Linked DNA regions of Tamandua tetradactyla. The protein of the gene in region 2 binds, or shares a complex with, the protein of the main gene of each other region. Links are inferred from orthologs where the notes say so. Each region holds a gene or a part of one and is shown on either strand. Other genes may lie near its edges.

Region 1 (7,867 bases), on a different chromosome or scaffold from region 2:
GGGGAGGATGGGCCACAGAGAGAAGGGTGCTTGGGGACACTGGGTCCTGCAGGTTGAAGGCCATAGGCCTGTCCTTTGCACATGTCTGTGCAAAGGACCCTCCTGTGTTCAGCTCGGTGTGATGCACCCTGGAGGCAGCTGGAACCCCAGAGTGGTGTCTGAGGGAGATGTCTGCCAGTGTCCTTCCGCTTGACTTTGCAAGCCCAGCCTTGAGGCTGTAGACCTCCACTGAGGTACAGGCCTGTGGTTCTGGAAGCTGCCTCCAGGATGAAAATGGCATTTTAGGTCCCAGCAGGTCGGGCAAAGTTTAGGGTGGACCTGGGCCCAGAGACACAGATACCTGAGAATCAGCACAGTCTCCTCCTTATAAAATCACCACATCTCCTCCTTACAAAAATGATCTTGGCCTAAATCTCAAAGCAAGTTCATTCACTGGTTACTCACTGCCACCATTTGCATCAGTTGAGAGGCAGGACAGCTCTAAGAGCAAGTACTAAAGAAACACAACACTGGGTTACAAATACAGCAGCCTCCGGCTTTATCCTTTATCCAGATGCATTCTGGCTTAACGGCGGCTTTTCCACTCTGAAGGAAACACCTCTCACTCATGGTGCTCCAATCATTCAAAAGCACAAGAGCCCAGATAGAACCTTTGAAGGCCATTGAAGATGGTATGGCTTTGAGTCAAAAGCAACATGCCGAACAATGCCCTGTGGGCTGAGCACTGTGGGCTGCAGTCCCTGGGTCTGCAGGATCTGCTGGGGAGAAGCCCGGCTCCCAGGAAAGGGGCAGGTGGGTGCTGAGGTGAAGAGCCCAATTCAACTTCCAAGCCCCGGGGTGGAGGTCCCCAGGGAGGGCATAAGCCACCTCCTGCCCCCTCCATCACTACGGCTGCTCAGGGCCAGCTGACTTGGTGGTCACCAGCTCCGTGGATCCCAGCTCCATGGCTGGCACAGGGATGCTGTGGCCAGGTGGCATGGCGGCTGGATCTTTGGGAGGAGGCCAGACAGGAGCTGTGGCTGCCGGGGGTCCAGAGGAGAGGGTGCTGACATCGTCCAGAGGCTCTGGGCAGGAGAGGGTGGGGGATGGAAGTCAAGATGGTGTCACAGCCTCCCCCTCTCCTTGTTCTGGAAGCTTCCTTTGGGGGCAGCCCTCAGACCAGAGAGATAAGTCACTGAAGCCCCAGTGGGGGTAGGGGGTGGGGAGGGTGGCATGTGATAGGCCCTTAGGACAGGAAGTGCTGAGTGTGGGGTGAGCCCAGGAGGCTGAGAAGATGGGGAATGCTGATGGAGGGAGACATGAGATGGGTCCGGCCATCCCCAAGATTTATGTTGGGTCCAGGACCCCTGGGTCTCCCAGAAGGGGGGATGGACTCCTCCCTCAGGCTGGCTCCCCATTTGTGTGTCCTTCCTGGGACTGGGGCTGGGGAGAGCAGAGCTGTGGCCCTCACGTGGACTCTGCCTCCCCTCTCAGCCTGAGGTCTTTCCCCGCTCACAGCCCTGCCTCCCTCTTCAGGCCCCTGCCCCTACCCCGACCCCAGGGCCGTGTCTCCCCCTTCACACTGCTGCGATCCCCCAGGCCATGTCTTCTCCCCCACACTGTCCCCACGCCAGGCCCTGCGGCCTCTCTGGGACTGGGCAGTGCCTCTTCTTTCCCTCTGATGCCCACTCACCCTCTGGGTCTAGGTCCACGGCCTCGGGGGACGCGGCCCCGCGCAGCCGCCGCCGCAGCCTCCAGCTCACCAGGCCCACCAGGAGCAGCGCCAGCGCCAGGCCCAGCAGCGCCGGGGCGCCGAAGAGGAGCCCCGGGAGCGGCTTCGCGCCCTCGGGCCGGGCCCCCGCGCCCACCGACTCCTGCGGCTGCAGCGCCGTCCTGGGCGCCAGGCTGCTCATCCCCGCTGGGGGAGGGGGCGGGGAGGGGGGACAGGGGGCGCCTGCGAGGAACGGCCGGGGAGGGGGCCGGCGGGCGGGAGGCGAGGCTGGGCCGGCGGGGGAGGGTCAGCCGGGGCGGGGGTGGGCACGGGGGAGGGGGGAGAGAGGGCCGGTGAGGGCCACGCGCTGATGGCTGGTCCCCGGGCAGCTCCCTGCCCACGGGCCTCCCATCCACCCACGGGGCGCCACTTACCCGGCCTGGGATCGGGCGTCCGGAAGAGCCTGCAGGACACGCAGGTGCGGAGCAGTGGGTCGAAGCACTCGGCCGGCGGGACCGCACTGGAGAGGCGCGGGCCTGTCCCTGACCCCCATGCTTCTCGCCCCTGGCCCATGTTGCGGCCGGCCCGCAGCTGAGACTGGGTCTGGACTCCGCAGCCCCTCGGGGAGGAAACTGGGAGGGGCCGCCTGCCCAGCCCGCCCCGGCCCCGCCTCCGCCTGCTGGGGTGAGACGGCTCTTGCCCGGCCCCGAGGCCCAGCACCCCAGGCTGCCTCTTTCTGCCGGTCCTTCCTCCAGTCAGCCACTCAACCATTACCTGCTGGGGGCCCTCGCCTGGGCCCTGGGACAGGGCTGGGCTCAGCCAAGGACCTGCTCATGGGTAGTGAAAGCAACGTCTGCAGGAAGAACCCTGATGTCTGGGTGGCCTCCTCTCCCTGGCCTCCCCAAGGCCGGCCCTCTCCCCCCATCCAGCCTGTCCAATGACCCCTCCTCTGGAGAGCCCTTCCTCAGTGCCCACACTGTACCAAGCTCCAAGCCCAGTGGTGGCGACATGGAGCAGAGACGGACAGGCCTGCCCAGAGGGACAGGGTGGTGGTGATTGGGTTGGTAGGTTCCAGACAATGGCCTCAGTGCAGGTCATCACCACGGGGCGGGGGGGGGGGTGGGGTGGGGGGGTGGGGTGGGGTGGGGTGGGGGCAGGAAGTCTTCAAGGAGGAAGTGAGGAGGAGGCATTTGCCAGATGGACTGAGGTCTAGGGGCGCATTCTCATCCACTGTGAGCAAAGTCCTGGAGGCAAGAGTAGGAAAACCAGGGACCAGAGGCCTGGTCTGGGGCCTAAATGGAGGGTTAAGGGGCTTGGCCTATGGCCCTAAGGCACTGGGGAACAATGCAGGGCTTTAAGCAGAGAGTGTCACCGATTTGCATGTTAGCAAGGAGCTGTTTTCTGAAGCAGAGGGGACATATGGAGGTGGAGAGGGCAGCCAGTTATCCAGGGACAGCCTAGTCCCCAGATCCTAAGCAGGAGGGAGACTCAGACCAACAGATGAACAGACAGACCAAGGCCCATCAGGTGACCTGCCCACCCTGACCCCTTTTCCCAGGGCTGCATGTGCCCTGGCCTGCACACACACACACACACGCACGCACGCACGCACGCACGCATGCACACAAAAACCCAAGAGTTTCTTCCAGCCCCTGCCCCATCCCTGGAGGGCAGCAGACACAGAGGAAGGCAGACAGCTTCAGGGAACTCCTAGTGGACCCAGAGCTGGCAGAGCTCAGAGGAGGGCGTGACCATCCGGGACATGGAGGAGGCTTGGGAGGCAGAAGGAGTAAGCATGCCCTTGGCAGCTGCAAGGCCAGAGGGAAATATTCCAGGCAGAAAGATCGGCATGGGCAACAGCATGGAGAAGTGACAGGGGAAGGACAGTCTGGGAACCGCATGGTCACTGCTTCAGGAGGGAGGGTGCTGAGCTGGGTGGAGTCAGACCCAGAGTGAGGAGCCTGGGGTGCTAGAGTGGCAGAGGGACTCATCCAAGTCGTGCTCTAGAAGGGGCCGTCTCTGGCTGCCAGGGAGCAGGAGGGCGGATGGGGCAAGCAGAGCAGTGAGGAGGCGGACACGGTGGTCCAGGGCAGGGGTATGACCCAGTGGTTGTTTAGCAGGAAGGACCGACGTGACTGGCCATGGAGTGAGAAGAGCAAGGCTGGTCCCCAGGTTCATGGTTTGGGGGGCCACCAGAATCCCACTCAGAGCCTCCCATCTGCCAGCCGTGGAGGGTCCTGGCCCACTGCCTCTCCATCCCCTGTCCACGCGCCAGCAACTCCAGGGCAGGAAGGTGTAGGCGGTGGGGCAGCTGCAAAGGAGAAGTGGGTCTGGGGTGGTGGGTGTGGGTGTGGGTGGGTGGTGAGGGGGTGGGGAGAGCAGCCGGGGCCGGGAAGCAGGGAGGGTGGGGGGCAAGAAGACTGGGCCACACACCACCACCACTTCGGGTGCCACTTTATCGCTTTGTCAGTCTTTGCTTTGTCCTGGGGGCTGCATTTTTTCCCCACTCAACATCTCGCTTGACCCCCAGGCCAGACCCTCAGGCAGAGGCAGGCTGCACAGTGGGAGCCCAGGAGCATGGAGTCTGTTATAGGGACAGGGGAGAGTCTCCCCATGGTGCTCTGAGCCTTGCCACAGAGAACAGGGGAGCTGGCCTGCACGGCCTCAAACGAGAGGAGGCACGGCCGGAACTCACCATTCACTATGCTTGTGGCCGGAGAAAGGGCGTGGGCCGCGTGGAGGACGGAGGTGTGATGACCCGTTGGACACCAATGGTTGTCATGCGCCTGAGACGTGCTGCACAGGCCCAGGCGATGGAGACGCTCAGGGGTGCTGCAGGCTGGACCCGAACAGACACCCAGTTTCACCTCCTAAGCAGGGTGCGTGACGGAGAGGGGGCTGCCAGCCTCAGCTCCTGCCCGCACAGTTCAGGCATCAGGCATACATTCCGCCCTCAGACTGGCCGGTTGGCAAACGGCTGCTGATTCCCCAATCCAAGGAGTACAAACTATGGGACTTTGTTGCTAAAAAAACCCTTCGAATTGAACCTGTCTCTCAGCTTCTCACTCATTTTTTAAAACGATGACTAATTTTGGCCCTGTCAGTGTCCCTTGACCTTTGTCCCCACGAACACCCCCTGTGCCCCCCACCCCCCACAATGGTTCTCACACAGGTGCTATTTGAGCCCATTTCTCCAGCACACCCCAGCACACATGGGCAGGGGGCCTGGCTGAGTCTGGGGCCCCTTGGCTGACATGTGGCCTGTGCCCCATGCTTGGGGCTGGGGAGGCAGGTGGGAGGTGTGGCACCATTTGGCCTCGGGGCTGTCCCTGGGGTAGGGTCGCCAGATCTAGATGTGAAAGGGCTCTGGGACCCGGGATGCTCTGTGCTTAAAAATGAGTTTTATTCACAACCATGTGAGTGGTATCTGAACATGTTCTCACGAAAAAAACCCTCAAACAAAACCTGACTCCTGAGTGACAGGGGCCTTTCCCTGCCCTCCCGGGAGGCCTCTGCTTTCGCTTCGGGGCCTTTCATCCCGGGCCTGCTTTGTGCCCTTGGGTCCTCATGGATGGGTTTTGTGTGTTTCACGAAAGGGGTTGTGCGTGTGAATTTTCTTTACTGGCTTTCCCCGGCCCCCACCTCTAGGTCCCCGAGGAGAGTCCCACATCTGGCCTCACAGCCCCATTTCATTTTGCAGCAGCAGCTCGGACACTGCTCATGGGCTTTAGTTCTGACAAACAAGGGCTCTATGGGACCATCCCCACCACCTGGGACAGCAGGAAGGATGTACTGGGAGTGGGGGGGGTGGGTAGCCCGGGAAGCAGTACAAGGCCCTGGTGGGGTCTGAGCAGAGGGCCAGCAGCATAGCAGCTGCCAGTGAGGCCCCCACTGTACCCTTTCCTCTTCTGAACCCGAACTAGCAAGGGGGGTAATGCCACTTCACGCGAAGTCATGAACCCCTGCCAGGCCCCAAGCCACTGACCCGTCTGCCCCAGGTCTCCCTCGGCACACACTTGCACTCCATGGGATTCTCTTTGCGCAGCCCTGGGACCAGGGTCGTGTGAGGTCAGAAAGGGGATGCCATCCCCTCAGCCTCCTGAGAGCTACCTTTCCCTCTGGGCTCCACAAAGGAGGGACCAAGGAGTCAGAGGTTCTGGGCTTCCTGCAGACACCCCCCATTCACCACCAAATCCCCATGTAGCCCCTGCTAGGTACCAAGCAGTACTCCAGGTCCTAAGGATACAGCAGCAAACGACAGGAGTGAAAAAAAAAAAAACGAATAAATAAACCAATATAGTGTGTGAGGAGATGTGAAGTGCCAAAGGGAAAAATTCAGGAGGGAAGGGTATAGGGAGGGCCAGGGTGTCAGGGAAGGCCTGTGGAGAAGGCGACATGGGGCAGACAGACAGAGGGAAAGCTCCTGTGGGGAGCCCTGAGGGAGGGGCACCCCCTGGGAAGCTGCAGCACTCCGGGTGGGGGTGGGGGACAGCAGCCCACACACCTCCCAGGCCTACCCCCTCCCCACCGTGGCCTCACCCCTCGACACACCTGCTAGGACTGGTTCCCAGGGGGCCCACTTCCTGCTGCTGAAAGGCTGAGGGGACGGCATCCCCTTTCTGATCTCACATGACCCCAAGTCCCAGAGCCGTGCAGACAGGGAAGGTGGCACTGCTCTTCCTATCTCCTAGGAGGCAAGCAGGCTCAGAGAATAAGGGACCTGCACAGGCTTCAAAGCCCCCTACCCCGCCCCATGCACCCATGGGGACCTTCTTCCTGTCTGGATGGGTTCAGTGATACTGGCCTGAGGCCGAGCACGTTAGAAGCAGAGTGAGTTCTGGGGACCCCCTTTGGGCTGGTATGCATCAGACCAGGCACCCACCGTTAGCCCTTGGCCTGAGAGGGTGGCCCTGAGGAAAGCTCCCTCCCACCCAGGTCAGGGACACTGGGGACCAACCATGCTCTTCCTCTCAGTCCTGGTGGGAGGTGGACTCAGGTCTCAGGATGGGCAGGGCCTGGCACCCACTGCAATGCCCACCCTAGTACCCCTCCTCTGCCCCTCGGGACTCCATGTGCCTGTAAGACAATACCTCTCTGCCCACACCCTTTGGGCCCCAGGGGAGTTTGGGGTGGGGCAGGGACCCTCATGTTGGAAGCCGTATGCATGTGAGGGTGGGCAGGCTGTGGCAGAGCTCTGTCTTGAGAAGCCCCCAAAGCTCACTTCAGTCCTCATAGTCCGAGCAGCCCCAGCCCACCTACAGGCCTGTGCAGGGCAGGCCCTTCAGGTTCTCACGAGCCTCCCAGGAAGCCTCCAGAGGCAGAGACGGTCTAAGGCTCCGAGAGGGGAAGTGAGCTGCCGCAGACCCCATGCTGGTGGGACTCAAGGGCAGACTCCTTTCCCACTGTGTCACTTCCCCTCTGTGGCCAGAATGCCCCTGCCCTCGCTGCAGCCCTGGGCCACCGAGGAGCCTCCTCCCCACTAGCAAGGCCTTACCTCCTTGGCAGGTGTGGGGCCAGACTTGGGCCTGGGCTCCTGGGCAGGCCTAAGGGCTGCCCACCACTAGGTGGCCTGAAGGGCTGAATGAACCTGTGATTCTGGGCAAGTCCCCACCCCTCTGACAGCCACAGACACCTCACTTCACGGTGGGCAAATTACCACTTGCCTCCTGTCATGCTCACATGACAGCATGGAGCCGCAGCTCCCAGGCAACTGAAGCCCACCCAGCTCACAGCCACTGGGAGATGTGTCTTCCCTGGACACCTGAGGTGGCGCCAGTTCCAGCCTGAGGGGTCATTCATCGGCTTAAAGCTTTGTTTCAGAAATGGCTTCATCTGCAAGTCTCACAACCAGCTGGGAGACGGGAATGAACCTTACCCATTCTGCAGGTGGAGAGGTGAGGCTCACAGATGGACCCAGTGGTGTGATCTACTGAGGTCACTCAACCCATCAGCAGCCAAGCCCAGCTCCTCCATCTCCCTCCCCACCCCAGAACCAAGTGCCTGCTCTAGGCACCCTGAGGGACATCAGGATGGCCTTCATCGACTTCCCTCAGTCAAGCTGCACCGTTCTGGACAGGCTCACAGGCCTCTACCCAGCCCTTGGCTCCAGATGATGGGTGCAAAGCAGCCTCGCTCCCTGGCCAGCCTTCTGGAGACAGCAGCTGGGTGGAACCTCTC
Region 2 (7,591 bases):
TGTGGTTTCATCCTAAATGAGAAAATTCTCTTCAGATTTTTCTGATGTGCTGAATTCTGCCAGGCCAGCAGGGTATCTACACAGTCTAGTTCCCAGGGGTCACAGTCCATGGCAGGCCGGTGGCACCTAACAGTGGCAGTTCAGTGCACACTCAGCATTGAGGTCTACTGTGCATGTAGGTCACTGCAGAAGCCTTTTGCAGAGAGGTATTTGCTACGACATTAAGTACCAAAAGAATACAGCTAAATTTCCATTAGTAGACAAATACCACACCATTTCTCCTTGCAATTGCAGGGAGCTTTTTAGAGTCAAATTCACAGTTAGCCTAGGCATAATAAATATCCACAGAGTCATACATACTGTGCTTTGGGGCATGAGGGGTCCTGGGTTGGTTACATGTACAACTGTTGACATTTTGTGTATAAACTGTGCTCTAATACTTATATTTTGGGCAAGCCCTGAACCCCAGGGACATAGGACTCCCAACCAACATGACTGCACTGACCAGGTCCATGGCCAATCAACTTATTTTCCCCAATTTCTAATGCTTGTGGCACAGGCAAGAGCAAGTTATGTTCATTGCCTCATTGTGGCTGTAGTACTTCTGGTTCTTCTATCTAAATTTGCAGCACCTGCATGGGCTCCTCCATTACCAATACAATAGGAGTGGGAGCAGCTGCTCAGGGCCATATTTGAGGCTGGTGAAGACCGGATACAACCTGCATGTCCTCTGCTGCAGAGATTGCCTATCATCTTTTAATTGCTCTTTAAAAAACCCATCATCCTTTCAATTAACCCTGCTACTGTGGGATTGTAAAGCGAATGAAATGTCCATAAGATGTCATGCTCAGTACTCAGGCTTGGGTTAGTTGACCAGGAACGGGAGTCCCCCATCACTGTCCACATGTGTGAGGGACCCCAAATAATGCACTGAGCTTTTCTAAATTTTCTAAAGCTATATATTGTCACTCTTTGCTTAGATTTCCCTACTGGTGAGGCCAACAGTCCAGGGGCTGTATCTATGTCTATGAAGACATATTTTGAACCTTCAGTTAAAGAAAGGGGCCCAATCTGATTTACCTGCCACCTGGTAACTGGAACCCTCCTGTGGCTAATGTGGTGGAGATGATGAAGAAGCAACTTTGGGCATCACAGCGAAGAGGAGGGGCAGGCATCTACCACTTCTTTCTGTTGTTGTCTAAAGATGGGCAGCTGGAATTGCTGTGCCAGTCTCCACAGAGTCTAGTACCTTTGGTGTCCACTCTTTCTATGCAACCATTCAACAGCCTTGTGCGATGTTGGCTTTAGGCTACAAATTTTTGCTAAACTGTCTGCTTCAATATTGCCAGGTAAAGAATCAGTGTTATCGGCAGAGACATAAAACACAGTACTTTTCCCTTATGGCAAGTACTCCAAATATCTTCCCACATTTCTTTTCCCTATAAGGGATGGCAGACGACAGGCCAGTGCTCTTGCTACCATGTGGCTGTCCTCACTGTCAGGCCCTGATACACTGCCCAATTGTCAGCACAGATAGTTCATGCATCTCCTGGCTTGTGAACAATGACTATTCATACAGCCCTTAATTCAGCCACTGGCTGTTTTTCATAGTCCCAGCTTCCCTCCATATGGTATCCATACTAGGTTGCACAGCTACTCCCTCCAGGCAGCAGACCGCCTTTGTGCTGATCCATTAGATTTAGGAATACTGCCATATCCATCAATGGTGGTCATAGAGACAGCCACTTCAGGAGGATCAGCAGGGAGAGGCAAGTGTTGTTCTTCCACATAAGAAACGAACTAGTCTCAGGATATGCATTTCTGCACTTAAGATGCTTTTGTTGAGAATGCTGTGCTGTAGCAGATAGGCTTTTCATTTCATTAGCGTGCTCAACTGTACACTGCTAGAGTGAAACTTAGTGAGAGTGTTCCGTATCCACCCCTATATGAGGATGGCTCTTCTTTATTTCACAGGACATTTCTGAGTTGATCCTTCAATTTACAGAAGGCATTATAGGCAGCACACAGTTGTTTTCTTAAGGGACAGGACCACAGTTCAGTTCTTTAACTCACTTTGCCTGTTACCTTTGCTATAAGTCCCACCCAAAGCTAATATTAGTAGTAGCCATTTCTGATTCACAAGGCATATCTGTGTCCACTCCACACAAAGTCTGAGCCAGTCTGACGGCTCATCTGACTTTTTCAAAAGTGCTGGGAGGTGTCTCATTCCCAAGGATAGCTTTTCCTAATCAAAACAAATACGGGTTTTAACTTTTGTGCTGAGTGAGGAAGAAAGGTTTCCAATATTCCAATAATCCCAAGGAAGCCACTAGTTGTTTTGGCATATGCAGCATATGAAAACATTGTACCTCATCAATTACTACTAAAGGAATAAATTTTGCCTTTTCCAGTTGTACAATACTCAAGATTTTACAGGCAGCCAAGGCATTGCAGAATACCATGATCAATTGTCCATCTCTAACTGTTAAGATGAAATAACAATAAGGCTTTTATTTTAATTCTGGAAAAGAATTACTGGTTAACATGACATCATCACATTATCAATATAATGAAATAGAGTTACATTTTTCCATTTAGCCAAATCCTTTTGCTAAGAGCTCATGGCAGATGGCCAGGCTATGTGAATAGCCATGTGGGACTACAATGACATTCCTTTGTTCTCCTTCCCAGGTGAAGATGAAAATGGATTGACTGACCTTACTTAAGGGAATACTAAAGAATTAAGTCCTAATTCCTTGTAAGTATGAGGCAAACTTTGGAAACACAGCATACAAAGGTGGAGTCACTCCACCCTTTGCCTCCCAAATTTCTTCTTTTTCCTCCTTTTCATTATCAGATAAACAATCTATGGTATCCCAGTCAGGGGAAGTCAGGATATGCCCCCTTACTCTAGCATGCCAAGATGCTAATATTTCTAACTCTTATCTACAAGACATTCAATGAATTGCATTCAATGCATCATCTCAATCTGCTGATTTCTCCAGTCCATTGCCATGGCCCCCACAGACCTGTGGATTTCTCTGACTTCCCCAAGACAGCCTGCCGTAGCTGGCCACACTGCATATGATGATCAACTGACTGCAACACAGTCAAGCAAGTGAATGACTAAAGAAGCAGTCCACTTTGGGATTAACCCCACAGATCCCCCCTTCCCCAGACTCATACTTTCTATGGCTGGCAGCTCTTTAGTCTCCTGGTTGACTCAACAAATGTTTCAGCTCTGAGTTTAATTAGGAACTTACAGACAGGAGGAAGATCTTCCCCAATGGCAAATGGTGGGGAATTGAGAGTCTGCACTCTGCCCAAAGTCAAGAGAGAAAAAGAGAGAGAGGGGTGCCCAGGAATGGCTTATGAAGTTTAACAGTCTTGCAAGATTTGGTTACAATGGAGTTTCAGCAGATGCTCCTGAGATTATATTAGGGGAGGGGTCAGACATCCTTTGACCTTTAAGGTCTGTTTAGGTCATATGGGTGGCTATGTGACTTGCTGTCAAAATAGAGGTGGAGGCAGAACCTGGGCCCTGGGTCTTTACAGCCTAGCTCAGGGCTTGGCAAGCACTCAGTAATATTTGTTGATTGGTAAATCAATATTTTGTTGCTGGGCTGGTTGCAAAGCAGCCAGAGCCCAGGATGTGGCTAAGAGTCAGTGGTCAAAGACAGGTAGGATTAAAATGGGTGGAATAGTCTGGGCAGCAACAATAAAGAGCTCTTGAAACAGAACTAGCTCTTATTTGAGTCAGGACAGGTTCCATAATCTTCAGTTTTGGCAGTCAAACTAATATGTGTGGCTAGTAGGTAAACTACCTGAGGGTAAGAACACTTGATGTGTTCCATGAGGCGTGGAAATAAGGCCAGCTTCTCCTCAACATGGTAGCAGGATGAGTTGGAATTTGAGGCTTCAGAAGCCAAATCAGGAAAGACAGGAAACAGACTCATCAGGAGGGGTTGATTACCTATCCAATGAGTCTGAACAGGAAAAAAGGTTGTGTACATTTCCTTTAGAAATGCATTCGCCCCCAATAGCCTTCCTCATACCTAATCTAAACTTGTCTCTAAAATTTAGTCACTTTCTTTTTAATACGTTGTTAAAATAATAACACCCAGCTGACTTCCATTCCTCCTTTGAGGATTCCTTTTTAAAATTTCATACTTGATAACTGTTAATAAATCACAGCTGCAACTGAGGACAAGTCAATGCTAAGGCACTTAGCTTATCTGACCTTCACATTAATTATTTTTATTACACCAGCAGGAACATTTTATGTTCTCGTTCCACTTCCCTACAAAGTCATTTGGCCTCAACTAGACACTGTTCTCTAATAATGCCTAAGGGTGAGCTCTTAACCATCTACATTATCTTAAAGCTATCTCTTGCACATGCTAATCAAAATTCAAAGTTTAGTCAGTGGATTTAAGGGGCGAATTTGTATATGATTGTTTTGAGATGCCATTAAAATTCTTACAAAAACTGAAAGTGAAATGAGGAAGACTGATTGAGCAATCCAATAGAAGGGCGAATGCCAGTAAAACCTATTGTACAGAGGGGCAGGGATGCAGAAGGGAAGAAATAAGAAAATTCAGGAGATCTCTCCTGACAGAGAGAGCCAAGCTCTGTGATGTGTTAAATGTAGGACATCAACAAACACAGATAACAGGAAATGATCCATTCCTTGTGGTCACTTATTTTAAAGGCCCTAACCTTCAAAGTTCAAGTAGTGAAATGGTTGACTCCACAGAAAAGGAGCAGTTACGACTTTCTTCTTGCCTTAAGAAAAGAGAAGAAATGAAACTTAAGGAGTTGGTGTCTATTCGCCCCCAGAAGAAAAGCTCCTCTGCCTGGTTCTCCAAAGATGGAAAGCTCCTGTCAGTGACCTTGCTTCTGACGCTGCTGTCCCTCTCCCTCACAGTGGTGTCTTTCTACAGAGTGGCCACCCTGCAAGCAGAGCTGGAGAGCCTCCGGGCGGAACTGCGATATTACCAAGCTGAGCAGCTGCCAGTCTCTCCTAAGGCAGAAGCTGGAGCCCCCACGGCAGCTTTACCGGAAACTCCAGCTTTCACCACGGGACTTGAAGTGAGTTATGGGCAGCTGCAGTTCCAGATACAATCCTTCCTAACCTGCTGCTTCTCCCCCATGCCAGCTGTCTTTTCAATAACTTGGGATTTTTCTGCCAACAGGGGATCCTTGCACCACCAGTTCCTGGAGAAAGTAACTCCAGTCAGAGTAGCAGGAGTAAACGTGGTATTCAGAGTCCAGAAGACACAGGTAAGTTTGGGGGACAAGAGCATTCAGAATTTAGCATTCAGTATCAAAGGATTACAGTGTTCACAGGTTTAGAAAATAGCAGCAACTTTAGGGGAATAGAGGTGAAATAATCTCTTGAAACCTCTTAAATAGAGACTATGAAATTTACCATCAAAATCAGACTTGGCTTTTTAGCAAAACCCTAGCAGTGGCAGTGATAAATTCAATGGGCTCCACAGCATGTTTTGGCCTCCAATGAGTTCACTTCATCTCACTACAGAATTAGACTTTGTCTACATGGGTCATAGAAAGTCATTAAAGACAAGTGTTTCCCAAGGGTGAATTTTGTGAAACCAAATGAAGATCCTAGAGTGGGAGGCTATGCTTTGCACACATATGCAGGCTTGTGAATGCGCATGCACACCCATTGATTTTCAAGTTTTTTTTTTTAGTTATGGCTTTCCAGGAATTCCATACGTTTATAATCTTCTAATAGTTTTTTCATGATTTCTGTTTTTCGTCATGTTCCACTTATTCCACAGAATTTCATAAATTCATAAAATTTTAGAGATGATAGGGATTATCAAAATAATCAATTCTAGTTCCTTCATTTCACAGATGAAGAACAGTATTTGTTTTGTATTTATTAATATTATAATCTAGGATGTTGTCCACAAATCCTTGATACTATCTTCCTTTTATATTGAAAGAGCATTTTTGAGCACCATAATATTTCATATTTTCTCTTCTGAGAAAAGATGTGAGACCTATTCAGTGGTAGGGTAGGTGCTTTTCTATAATCCACACGCACATGTGTATACACACACACAAAGTGCTTGGCCTACAAATCCATTTATTTTTCAACTATATACCTTATTTATGAAAAACCTTCTCCCCTATTTTATAAAACCATAACTTTGTTATCTGATTTTCATATCTTTATGCCAATTATCAGAAACACTTAGACTTAATAATTTTTAAACCAGGAAACAGGCATAATATTACTGCTTTAATATATCAGTTATTTTCATCTGTTTTCTACAATAATTAAAAATAGTGCTGCATATCTATTATTTTATATTTTTGTTTTTTCTTATTATACAATCTGTATTTACCCTATTTCTAAGTAATTCTCATACATGTACATTAATCTGCTATTCTACTATTTTCAACACAATTATTTCCATTTTTTGCTACAATACAGTACAATCTTGCTAAAATTTTACAGTGATCTTTTTTGTTTCTGAGTCATTAACTGCTTTATACAAATTCTGTATAGTGGAATTTCTGAATTAAATAAAATGGAAATCCTTATGACCCTTGTTATATACTGCTATGTTGCTTTCAGAATGAGTATAAATATATTTAACAAGCAAGGTGGTGTGTCTGTTTCTCTATAGTCTTACAAGCATTTTAGCTTTTAAAATCTATTTTGGCTAGATTAGTAACAGTGAAATAGTATCTCAATTTTATTTTAATTTGCTGTTTGTTTGCAAATAAAAATGAACTTCTTTCTCCATATTTTACTTCTAATTTTATCATGTTAATTTTTATCTATAACTTCTACCATTTGTCGTCCTAATTATTTATAATTTGGAATAAACTATATATTAGATGTATTAATTTTATCAAAGTTTTCATAATATTTTGCTGCTTTAAAAATTATACAGAGATTTTATATGTCTATACTTTAATGTAATAATATTTTCCTTTTATTTTTCTAATACATCAAAGCTGAAAGAATATTCTTTCAGGATCTCTTAAGTAGTCTATTCTACTTTCTGCTACTTTGAATTTCTTATAATTTAGTATTTTAGTTTAGATTTTAACTCATTAACCCTTCTGGTGCCTATTGTGATGTATCTTGACATGCTTGTTTTAAGTTCTTCATTTCTTCTTTTTTTTTCCTTCCTAAACTGTTGCTAAATAGCTCAACCAAATTTATTAAATAATTTTTAACTCCTTTTGTGTTAGGAAAGCTTACTGTGTTTTTTTAAGTTCCTCAAAATAGTCAAATCTATTTACAGACTCTCTGTTTTTGTTTCATTGATTTACTCTTCTATTTATTTGCATTAAATGAACTATTTGAAGTAATTTGTGTTATAATGGGCTCCAGTATCTCGTAGTCAGGATTCCTAGGTCTTCTTCAACCTTATCTGATACTATCCTCCTACCTCTAAATATTACATTCTAAAGATGATATAAGGCTTATCATGGCAGATTTAATAAGAAAAAAATAGTAGAGTAAGAAAACAAAACTCCCAGAGTCCCTTTTCCTCCAAATCCTCTACTAATATTTTTGTTTCATTCTAACAAATTTATATATTTT
Region 3 (7,853 bases), on a different chromosome or scaffold from region 2:
CAGTTAAAATGGTTCATCCTCTAGTAGAAATTGACTTCCTGTGACACTTGCAGCAGCTGACAGGCTATTACCACAGTCATTCGTTTTGGTGGTGACAAGAAGAGTGGCACCTTCCTCCATGGCTGGGAGAGGAAAGAGATGGTCAGAATCAATCTTTGGTTTGCTCCTAGCACAGTCTTCACAGGTGCATTCTTCCACGGTGTACCCCAGGCCTCTCGGAACAATAACTTGAGTACCAGACTTGCTGTTGGCCGGCTCAGCCTTAACTACCTCTGGGAGAGCTGATCCTGAGTACACAAAAACAGAAACATTAAACTAATTTCCCAAGGGATGTGGTCATGACAGTCTTAGCAGTGCACATCAGGACTCAAAACCAGATCTTTTCATACAAGAACGAGTACATCCTACATTGAAAGTCACAACCTAACAGATGACTTGCCACGTATATTTAAACGGCATTGCTTTGTTTGGACTATAAGTATTTTTGAGTGTGTGTTGTTGTTTTATGTTGGCTCACATTTAAAAAACAAGAGATTTTGCATACAAATCCAGATTGCAGGAGTCTCTTTAAAAAGACAAAAAAATGTGACAACATGGAGACAGATTTTCTAGGTGGAAACAATTGGTTGAAATCAAGAGCCGCTGTGGCCTTTAGCCAAGGCTCAGCCCCTGGTGCCAGGCCCTCTACCTGGTCCACTACTCTCATTTGCCACCCACATGGCCCTTTGAAGTTTTGACCCCATCTTGAGCTCTTAAAAATTGACAGTAATCACCGTATGTGCAGCCCACCAAAATCAGCCAGTGGGTAGCACTTTAGAATTCAGAAGTAAAGACACTTCAACAGAGCATTTTTCAGCTGGTTATATTTTTTAAGTGAATTTCTTGTGATCCCACAAGGAAGGAGTCTCCATTATGTCCCCATTAGACACCTGTGAAGCTGGTTTACTACTTCCCGACATTCTGCAGTGTAACATCTTCCCAAAAAATTACACTTAAAGTCACTCCCTACCTGTCTACCAGACCCCAGGAAAAGAAAAGAAAAATGAATAAATGAGGCAAATGTGGATCAGCCATTTACTGCTTTTTGCCGCAGAAAGCAAATGAGATACATGCTTTACAGATTATGCGTGGAATTTAAATTCGTAAGAAAATAGGGCAATTGCTGGCAAGTGTTTGGGAATCAGATCACAAGCAAAGGTGCTGCAGATATATTTTTATCTTCAGTCCTTTAGTAGAACATTCACTTCTCTTGAATTAAGTCTCCTCTGCTTAATAAAGTCAATTATTTTCCTAGATGATTGCTCAAATAATCCAGGAATAATATTCATTTTAGCATTTTTCAATATAATTGTTTTCTCCCAAGAAAAAAACACTTAACATTTGTATTGAAAACACAGCCATGAGTCTTGCCAAATATACTTTTCCTGGTATTACCAGATCTGGGTAGCACTTTTTGATACTATGACATTTAATCAATGGGCTAACTTTAGTCAAAGAGACAGATGTTTCCAGAGGACGCCTCAATATTTTAGTAATTTCTGAGGAAAGGCTGACATTGTAGGAGACTTGCAACCGAGGTATCAACACCAGAATGAAGGCAGCTGGCTTCTACTGAGGAGTTTATTTAGTCTGCCTGTCCTCTAACACCTTTTTTTTTTTTTTTTTTTTTTTTTTTTTTGACAAGGGCAGGCTCTGGGAATCGAGCCCCAGTCTCTGGCATGGCAGGCGAGAATTCTGCCACTGAGCCACCGTTGCACTCTAACTGAATGAAATACTCAATGTTAAAATAGAAAAGAAACTGAAACTTGAAATAACCACCTCTTCAAAACAGATTTCAAAGATTTACCATGAAACCAACCTGTGTTTTTAAAATTGTTGTTTAATTGTTCAGCGCTCATCTTCTTTAGCAAGAACATTAGCACGAAAAATGCCAAACAAAGTATCAAGCCCACTGCCAAGCAGGTCCAGAGAATCGCATTTGTTCCCTTCACTGAACTGGTCACACCTTTATTAAAAGAATGTCAGACAGATAATGCACTGATAACATAACATTCACATTGATTACAGATTGTCGTTCAACTCTCATAATTTACCAACACTGACTTTTTTTCCTATGTACTTAAAAAATACCTTTTTGAGATATAATTGAAATGCAATCAACTGCATGTATTTAAAGTGCACGATTTGATACGTTTTGACATTGGATACATACCTGCAAAACCTTCCCCACAATCACGATAATGAAATATCCATCACTCCCCAAAGTTATCTCATGCCCCTTTATCATCGCTCCCTCCCGTGGTGCTTGCTCCCCTACCCTACCCTAAGCAACCATTGATCTGGCTGTCACAATAGACTAGTTTGCATTTTCAGGAATTTTATGTATATGTAGTCGTATAGTATGTGCTTTTTTTTTAACCTAGCTTCTTTCACTGGACATACCTATTTTGAAATTCACTCCTGCTGATTCACATATAGTGAATAGTCCATTCCTTCTTATTGAGCTCCGCATCGACTTTTACAAAACAAATAATACTTAATTAGAAGAGTTGACAAAAATCTGTGTTGCTAATAGTGATGAATAAAATTAAGTTAGGTTCTAAATAATTACTTTACTCCTATAGGCATTTAAATCATTGCCTTTTTCCCCCCTTTCTCTGATTCAGAAAATCTCACCATCTTCCCTGGAATATCTACTTTTTGGATAATTGGTGATATAGAAAGAGTACTTCATGTCCATGAATAATTGTTCAAGAAATTATTACTTACCTGCATTACAATAACGCTGGCACGATAGAGGAGGGGTATTAGAACATCGGAGGTGACACGGTTTGCAAGCACGAAGCAAACTGTCAAAATACTCATTTTGGAAGCACTGCTGAGCCATCTGGAACTTGATCGCAAAAAGAAACAAGGGAACTGCAGAAATTACAGCACAGAAGGATAAGTAAATCCTTGTCAGGAATTCCCTAGCAAATGTAGTGACAGCAACTAGAATATTGAAGGTAAAAAAAAAAAAAAAAAAAAACTCCACAACATTGCTTAATTGGTTCTTAAAGGGTCCTGTTTCCTTGTACCTCAACAAAGAATTTGAGTACCAACTCTAATTCAAATTTTTGTGTTTGAGGCTTGGGTTGAGTAGGAAATGGGATGTAAATATCAAGGGCAAACCATACTTGAAACAGAAACTGCCTATTTATAGCAGAAATTTCTCACCCAGGTGACAGTTGCAAGATGCAGACAAGCCTGGGGCATGGAGCAGAAGGTTCAATAACCATTTATGAAGTTTATGAGATGCTTTGTGAGGGTTCTTGGGGAGATAATAAAGCAAGGATGATGCCCCTTAAGAATTTAAAAACTAACAGGGGAAATAGGAAATACTCCCAAGGAACCACAGAGCAGGGTAGTAACAGAATGTGAGAGGGGAATAGGGATATCACATATGACCAAAAGCTTTTAGGGAAAACTGCAGTACCGCTGGTGTAAACGGGAAAATCTGGAGTAAGAATGAATTGACAAGAGGGTTGGGAAGAAGATAGCTTTGGGGTATTATTATAATTACTGTTGTTGTTTAAGTAATCCGCATGCCATTGTTGAAAAGTCAGACATTTAATCAATGGGCTAACTTTAGTCAAAGAGACATGTTTCCAGAGGAAACCTCAGTATGTACATCTACATAGAGGAACAGACAGACAGCCCAGCCGTAGTCCTGCCACCCAGAAATAATTACTGTGAACATTTTCATGTAACGCAGAGGTTGGAAACAGAGCTAATGATGTGGGACTCTTTTGTTTGTTGGTTGGTCTGTTTGCTTTGCTAACTTCTGACACATATCTTTCTGGAAGGTTTTCTCTACATATGTAGGCTAAGATAATGTATATTTCCTTTCTACATAAAGGTAAACTTGAGTTTGCGTTTAACCGTACAAAGTGAGATATCCGTGTAGACATGTCCAGAAGGTAATCGGAGATGCACGGCTCAGTGGAAGACTATTCAGCCATAAAAAGTAATCAAGTGGAGTGCAAGGGTAGTTCAGTGGTAGAATTTTCGCCTGCCATGCAGGATATCTGGGCTCGATTCCCAGTGTGTGCACTTGCCCCTGCAAGAAAAAATTCAACAAACGGTTCTGCAATAACAGGATAGTCACATGGAAAAGAATGAAATGTGACCCCCACCATACAGCATACAAAAAAAAGTAACTGAGTTTTGATGCACGTTACTACATGGATGAAACCTGAAAACATCATGCCAAGTGAAATAAAGCAAACACAAGAGGGCACATATTGTATTGTATCGTGCAATATAATTTTGTCTAGATATTTCCACTTTGAAATATCTAAGGAAATTCAGAGGGACAGAAAGTAGATTAGAGGTTGCCAGGAACTGGGGGCAAAGGGGAATGGGGAGTTAATACTTAATGGGTACAGAGTTTCTGTTTCAGGTGATGAAAAAGTTTTAATAATGGAAGGTGGTGATAATAGCACAACATTGTACAAGTAGTTAATGCCACTGAATTGTATACTTAAAAATGGTTAAAATAGCAAATTTGACATTATATGTGTTACCAATTTTTTTCATAATACGTAGGGAAATGACAAATTCCAAGTTCAGTATAATGATTATCTCTGGAGTAAGGCCCAAAATGGCTTCACCGAATTTGTTAGTATTTTATTTTTTAAGCTGAATGATGAATACATGGGTATTTGTGGTATTGTCCTTTGTTGTATTTTTTTGCATTCTTTATAACTTTTTGTATTTTTAAAATTTTGCATAATAAAACTTTAAATAGTTACCATATAATAAAATGCAGGATTCAGAAACAATTAATTTCTAAAATATAGGACTTGAGAAAAGAGTTTGGACTTAGGTATTGATCAAGAACTCAGATTCCCCTGGGAGGTGAAGCAGTGAGGTAAATGAATGAGGCTGGCTGAGTGGGGCAATGGGGAGTTGGAGCTGGCCTGGCAGGTTCTACTACTTAAGCTGTCCAAATCAACCTTTTGAAAGACAGACAAAGGATCCAGGGCTAGCAGGAGCAGAGCAGTGGAAAGAGGTCAGTGACAATCTCACATACCCACCAGGCAAGGAGAGAGCTTCTGCATGGGTTGGGAGTGGGGTCCAACTCTACAGAAAAGTCAAAGGCAGTGGGAAAAGGAAGGAAGTCATTGGCGGCCTTTGAGAGCACAGTGCCAGAAGGTGCAATCCAAGTTGTAGGTATTTAAGGGGTGGCAGAAAGAGGTGAAAGCCAATGTGAACCATGCCTGAAAGTGTGGTGGAAACAGGGATCAACAGCTGTGATGGCTGTTTGGAAAGAAGCACCACTGCCATTGTGCCTGGTGGATGTTCTTGCCTGGTTGCCTGAGGACACAAGTGCAAGGATGGTCACTGCAGCACCAATGCACTCACAAAAGCCTGGAGCAATCTAAATACCCATCAGAAGGGGCTTCATAGTGGAATACCATACATCCATCAAAAAGAATGAGCCAGATAGGGTCTGCTACAAAAGAAACATTGCTAAGTGAAAAATGCAGGGGACTGAACGGTGTGTGTAATATGCTTGCCTATGTTTACAAGCAAAATGGGAAGGGTATGTATGTACAGACATATATATAGGTCACATCTAGAAAGATCCACAGGAGGCTGATAGTAGTTACTCTTTTAAGGGTGGGAAGCTTATGTTAAATGCTTTTTTTTTTTAATAATCTCTTTTTTAAGGGTGGAGAGCTTGGAGGAGGAAAATGTAGTGAAAGGAACAAGACACTTGCATCCTTCCTTCTTTCTTTCTTTCTATGTCCAACTGTGTCCTGGTTTCTTTCTGTCATTTGGCGCAGCAACACCATCTTCTGCATCTTGGCTCCATTCTCAGGACCTCCCCTCATGGGCACAAAAGAGCTACTATCTTTCCAGACCTTGCCTACTCTCCCATTTCTTCTAAGCTCTCTCCTTAGTAATCTCATCAGCTCCCAGGGTTTTAGATATGTTAACTCCAAGATCTATACATCAACAATAATCTTGCCTTTGAAATCCAGACTCATATACCAACTGCCTAGTTGATGTTTTTACCTAGAAATCTAATAGGCATTTCAAACTTTAATATATTAAAGTACATTTGGATTCCCCAAGAAGTATATATTGTATGCTGCCTTCATCAAACCTACTGGTCCTTTTTCCAGGACCATCTATGAACATTTAGAAATATATGTTTTGGTGGAACACAATTTGCAAAATGAAGCTAAATTATCTACACAATTCCTTCCAGCTCCAAAAGACTGGTGCTTTTTTTTTTTTTTTTTTTTGTATGCTGTATGGCAGGGGTCACATTTCATTCTTTTTCCATGTGAGTATCCTATTACTGCAGCACCATTTGTTGAATTCTTTGCTTGCTTGCTTGCTTTTGTTTGTTTGTTTGTTCATTTTGGGAAGCGCATGGGCAGGGAGTCTAACCCAGGAGCCTATGATTTTAAAGCAAGGATTTTTAGTAGTTTCATGATAGGGAGCATTGGTGTATAATAACTGCCAAAAGAGTGCTGTATCTGGCCTTGCTCTACACAGAAAGAACAAAGAAAGGAAAACCAATTCCCGAGTCAGGCCCAGGCTTCGGCACTCACTCACAGCTCTAAGGAAGCAAGGAATTGTTGCCTCAAGCTTCCAAAGCCATCGGTAGCATGCTCTGAGGAAGATTCCATCCAACTACAACATTTTTTCCCCAAAATTACTAAACCACAGGCAAGTTTTCACAGAACACTTTGACCCTTAGCTCTTAACTCCACACCAGAAGTATAAACTTTCTCCCAAGGAACTTTGTAGACCTTTTCACTTGGAAACAGACATCTAGGCCCTTGACTACACATCCAATCCTTGTCTTCTCTTGAATTATTGATTAAACCTCGGCACTGCAGTGGGCTATATCAAGTTGGCTACCCTGGAGATTCCCAGAATCCCCTTCTCCTTATGGGTCCATGATAGAGTTGGTCAAAAGAGGAATATGTATGAGATTTCAAAGGCAGATATGAAGCCGCAGTCCCTACTCTCTGAAGGTCATCATTGTTGTATACAATGGTGAATGGTTGCAGAGATGCTCAGAGGGTTCCTGCTTGTCCTCATTTTCCTTGGTGCAGCACCCACCTCCTGTCCTAGCCCTGCTGACCTGCTGAGTCAAAAAGACTTCCTGTCCCAGATCTTCATCTCCCCAGCTCCTCCCATGATAAGGAAAGGTCTAATTCCTATACTACGTCCCTTCTCCTGTAACAATCATGACAACTCTACTCCCCTGACCAAACCCTGACTGATACCAACTCTTCAACCTTGTTTTGAACCCATAGTTCGAATATCGAGGCAGGACAGTTCAGGTCTTGCTCACAAACTGGCTTGGCACTACGGTAAAAGTGCAAGTTTGGGGGTCAGAAAAGTCCGAATCCCAGCTTCACCACAGTGGAACCAGTGTCATCTTGAGCAAGTGACTTAACCTCTCTGAGCCTCAGTTTCCTCACCTGTGTCAATATGAAAGATTATACTTCCAACCTCCTGGGATTGTTGTGAGGATTAACTCACATGGATTTATGGAAAGCACTGAGGATAGTTCCCAGCCAGAGGAAGCACTCAGCAAATGGTATCTAATTTGTGATTATTAACAGGAAGTTCAGAGTCCATCAATCTCTGGGAAAGGGTGCTTGCCTAAGGCTGGCGGAGGTAGCATAATCAGAGAGAGACTCAAGGGTAAACCAAGGTCATCTTCAAAACCCAAGCCAGGAAAACAACATTAAGCATTGAGTACTGGAATGGCAGGGAAAGATGCAGCAAAAAAATGGAAGAGTGCGAGACTGGAGAGCAGGATGGGTGGGAGTTTGAGAAAT

The links.
Region 1: the proteins of TNFSF13B (region 2) and TNFRSF13C are in contact, whole or in part, in a crystal structure (PDB 1OQE), measured with the Homo sapiens proteins. The link is inferred for Tamandua tetradactyla from reciprocal best matches to the Homo sapiens genes TNFSF13B and TNFRSF13C. Residues at the interface, in NP_006564.1 of Homo sapiens: Ser162, Tyr163, Asp203, Thr205, Tyr206, Ala207, Met208, Gly209, His210, Leu211, Thr228, Arg231, Cys232, Ile233, Pro264, Arg265, Glu266, Asn267, Ala268; in NP_443177.1 of Homo sapiens: Asp26, Leu27, Leu28, Val29, Arg30, Val33, Leu37, Leu38, Arg39, Pro41, Arg42.
Region 3: the proteins of TNFSF13B (region 2) and TNFRSF17 are in contact, whole or in part, in a crystal structure (PDB 1OQD), measured with the Homo sapiens proteins. The link is inferred for Tamandua tetradactyla from reciprocal best matches to the Homo sapiens genes TNFSF13B and TNFRSF17. Residues at the interface, in NP_006564.1 of Homo sapiens: Ser162, Tyr163, Lys204, Thr205, Tyr206, Ala207, Met208, Gly209, His210, Arg231, Cys232, Ile233, Glu238, Pro264, Arg265, Glu266, Asn267; in NP_001183.2 of Homo sapiens: Tyr13, Asp15, Ser16, Leu17, Leu18, His19, Ile22, Arg27, Ser29, Ser30, Asn31, Thr32, Pro33, Pro34, Leu35.

What each region holds. Positions count from the first base shown.
Region 1 is NC_135333.1:35,189,981-35,197,847, forward strand, and holds TNFRSF13C (tumor necrosis factor receptor superfamily member 13C), read right to left. Parts: upstream 2,790-7,867; 5' UTR 2,462-2,789; coding exon 2,125-2,461; intron 1,979-2,124; exon of another isoform or gene 1,916-1,978; intron 1,898-1,915; coding exon 1,675-1,897; intron 1,073-1,674; coding exon 886-1,072; 3' UTR 515-885; downstream 1-514. UniProt on the Homo sapiens protein: B-cell receptor specific for TNFSF13B/TALL1/BAFF/BLyS. Promotes the survival of mature B-cells and the B-cell response.
Region 2 is NC_135330.1:177,864,649-177,872,239, forward strand, and holds the start of TNFSF13B (tumor necrosis factor ligand superfamily member 13B), read left to right. Parts: upstream 1-4,541; 5' UTR 4,542-4,740; coding exon 4,741-5,091; intron 5,092-5,195; coding exon 5,196-5,283; intron 5,284-7,591. UniProt on the Homo sapiens protein: Cytokine that binds to TNFRSF13B/TACI and TNFRSF17/BCMA. TNFSF13/APRIL binds to the same 2 receptors. Together, they form a 2 ligands -2 receptors pathway involved in the stimulation of B- and T-cell function and the regulation of humoral immunity.
Region 3 is NC_135349.1:45,170,619-45,178,471, forward strand, and holds the start of TNFRSF17 (tumor necrosis factor receptor superfamily member 17), read right to left. Parts: upstream 3,088-7,853; 5' UTR 2,888-3,087; coding exon 2,770-2,887; intron 2,006-2,769; coding exon 1,859-2,005; intron 288-1,858; coding exon 4-287; 3' UTR 1-3. UniProt on the Homo sapiens protein: Receptor for TNFSF13B/BLyS/BAFF and TNFSF13/APRIL. Promotes B-cell survival and plays a role in the regulation of humoral immunity. Activates NF-kappa-B and JNK.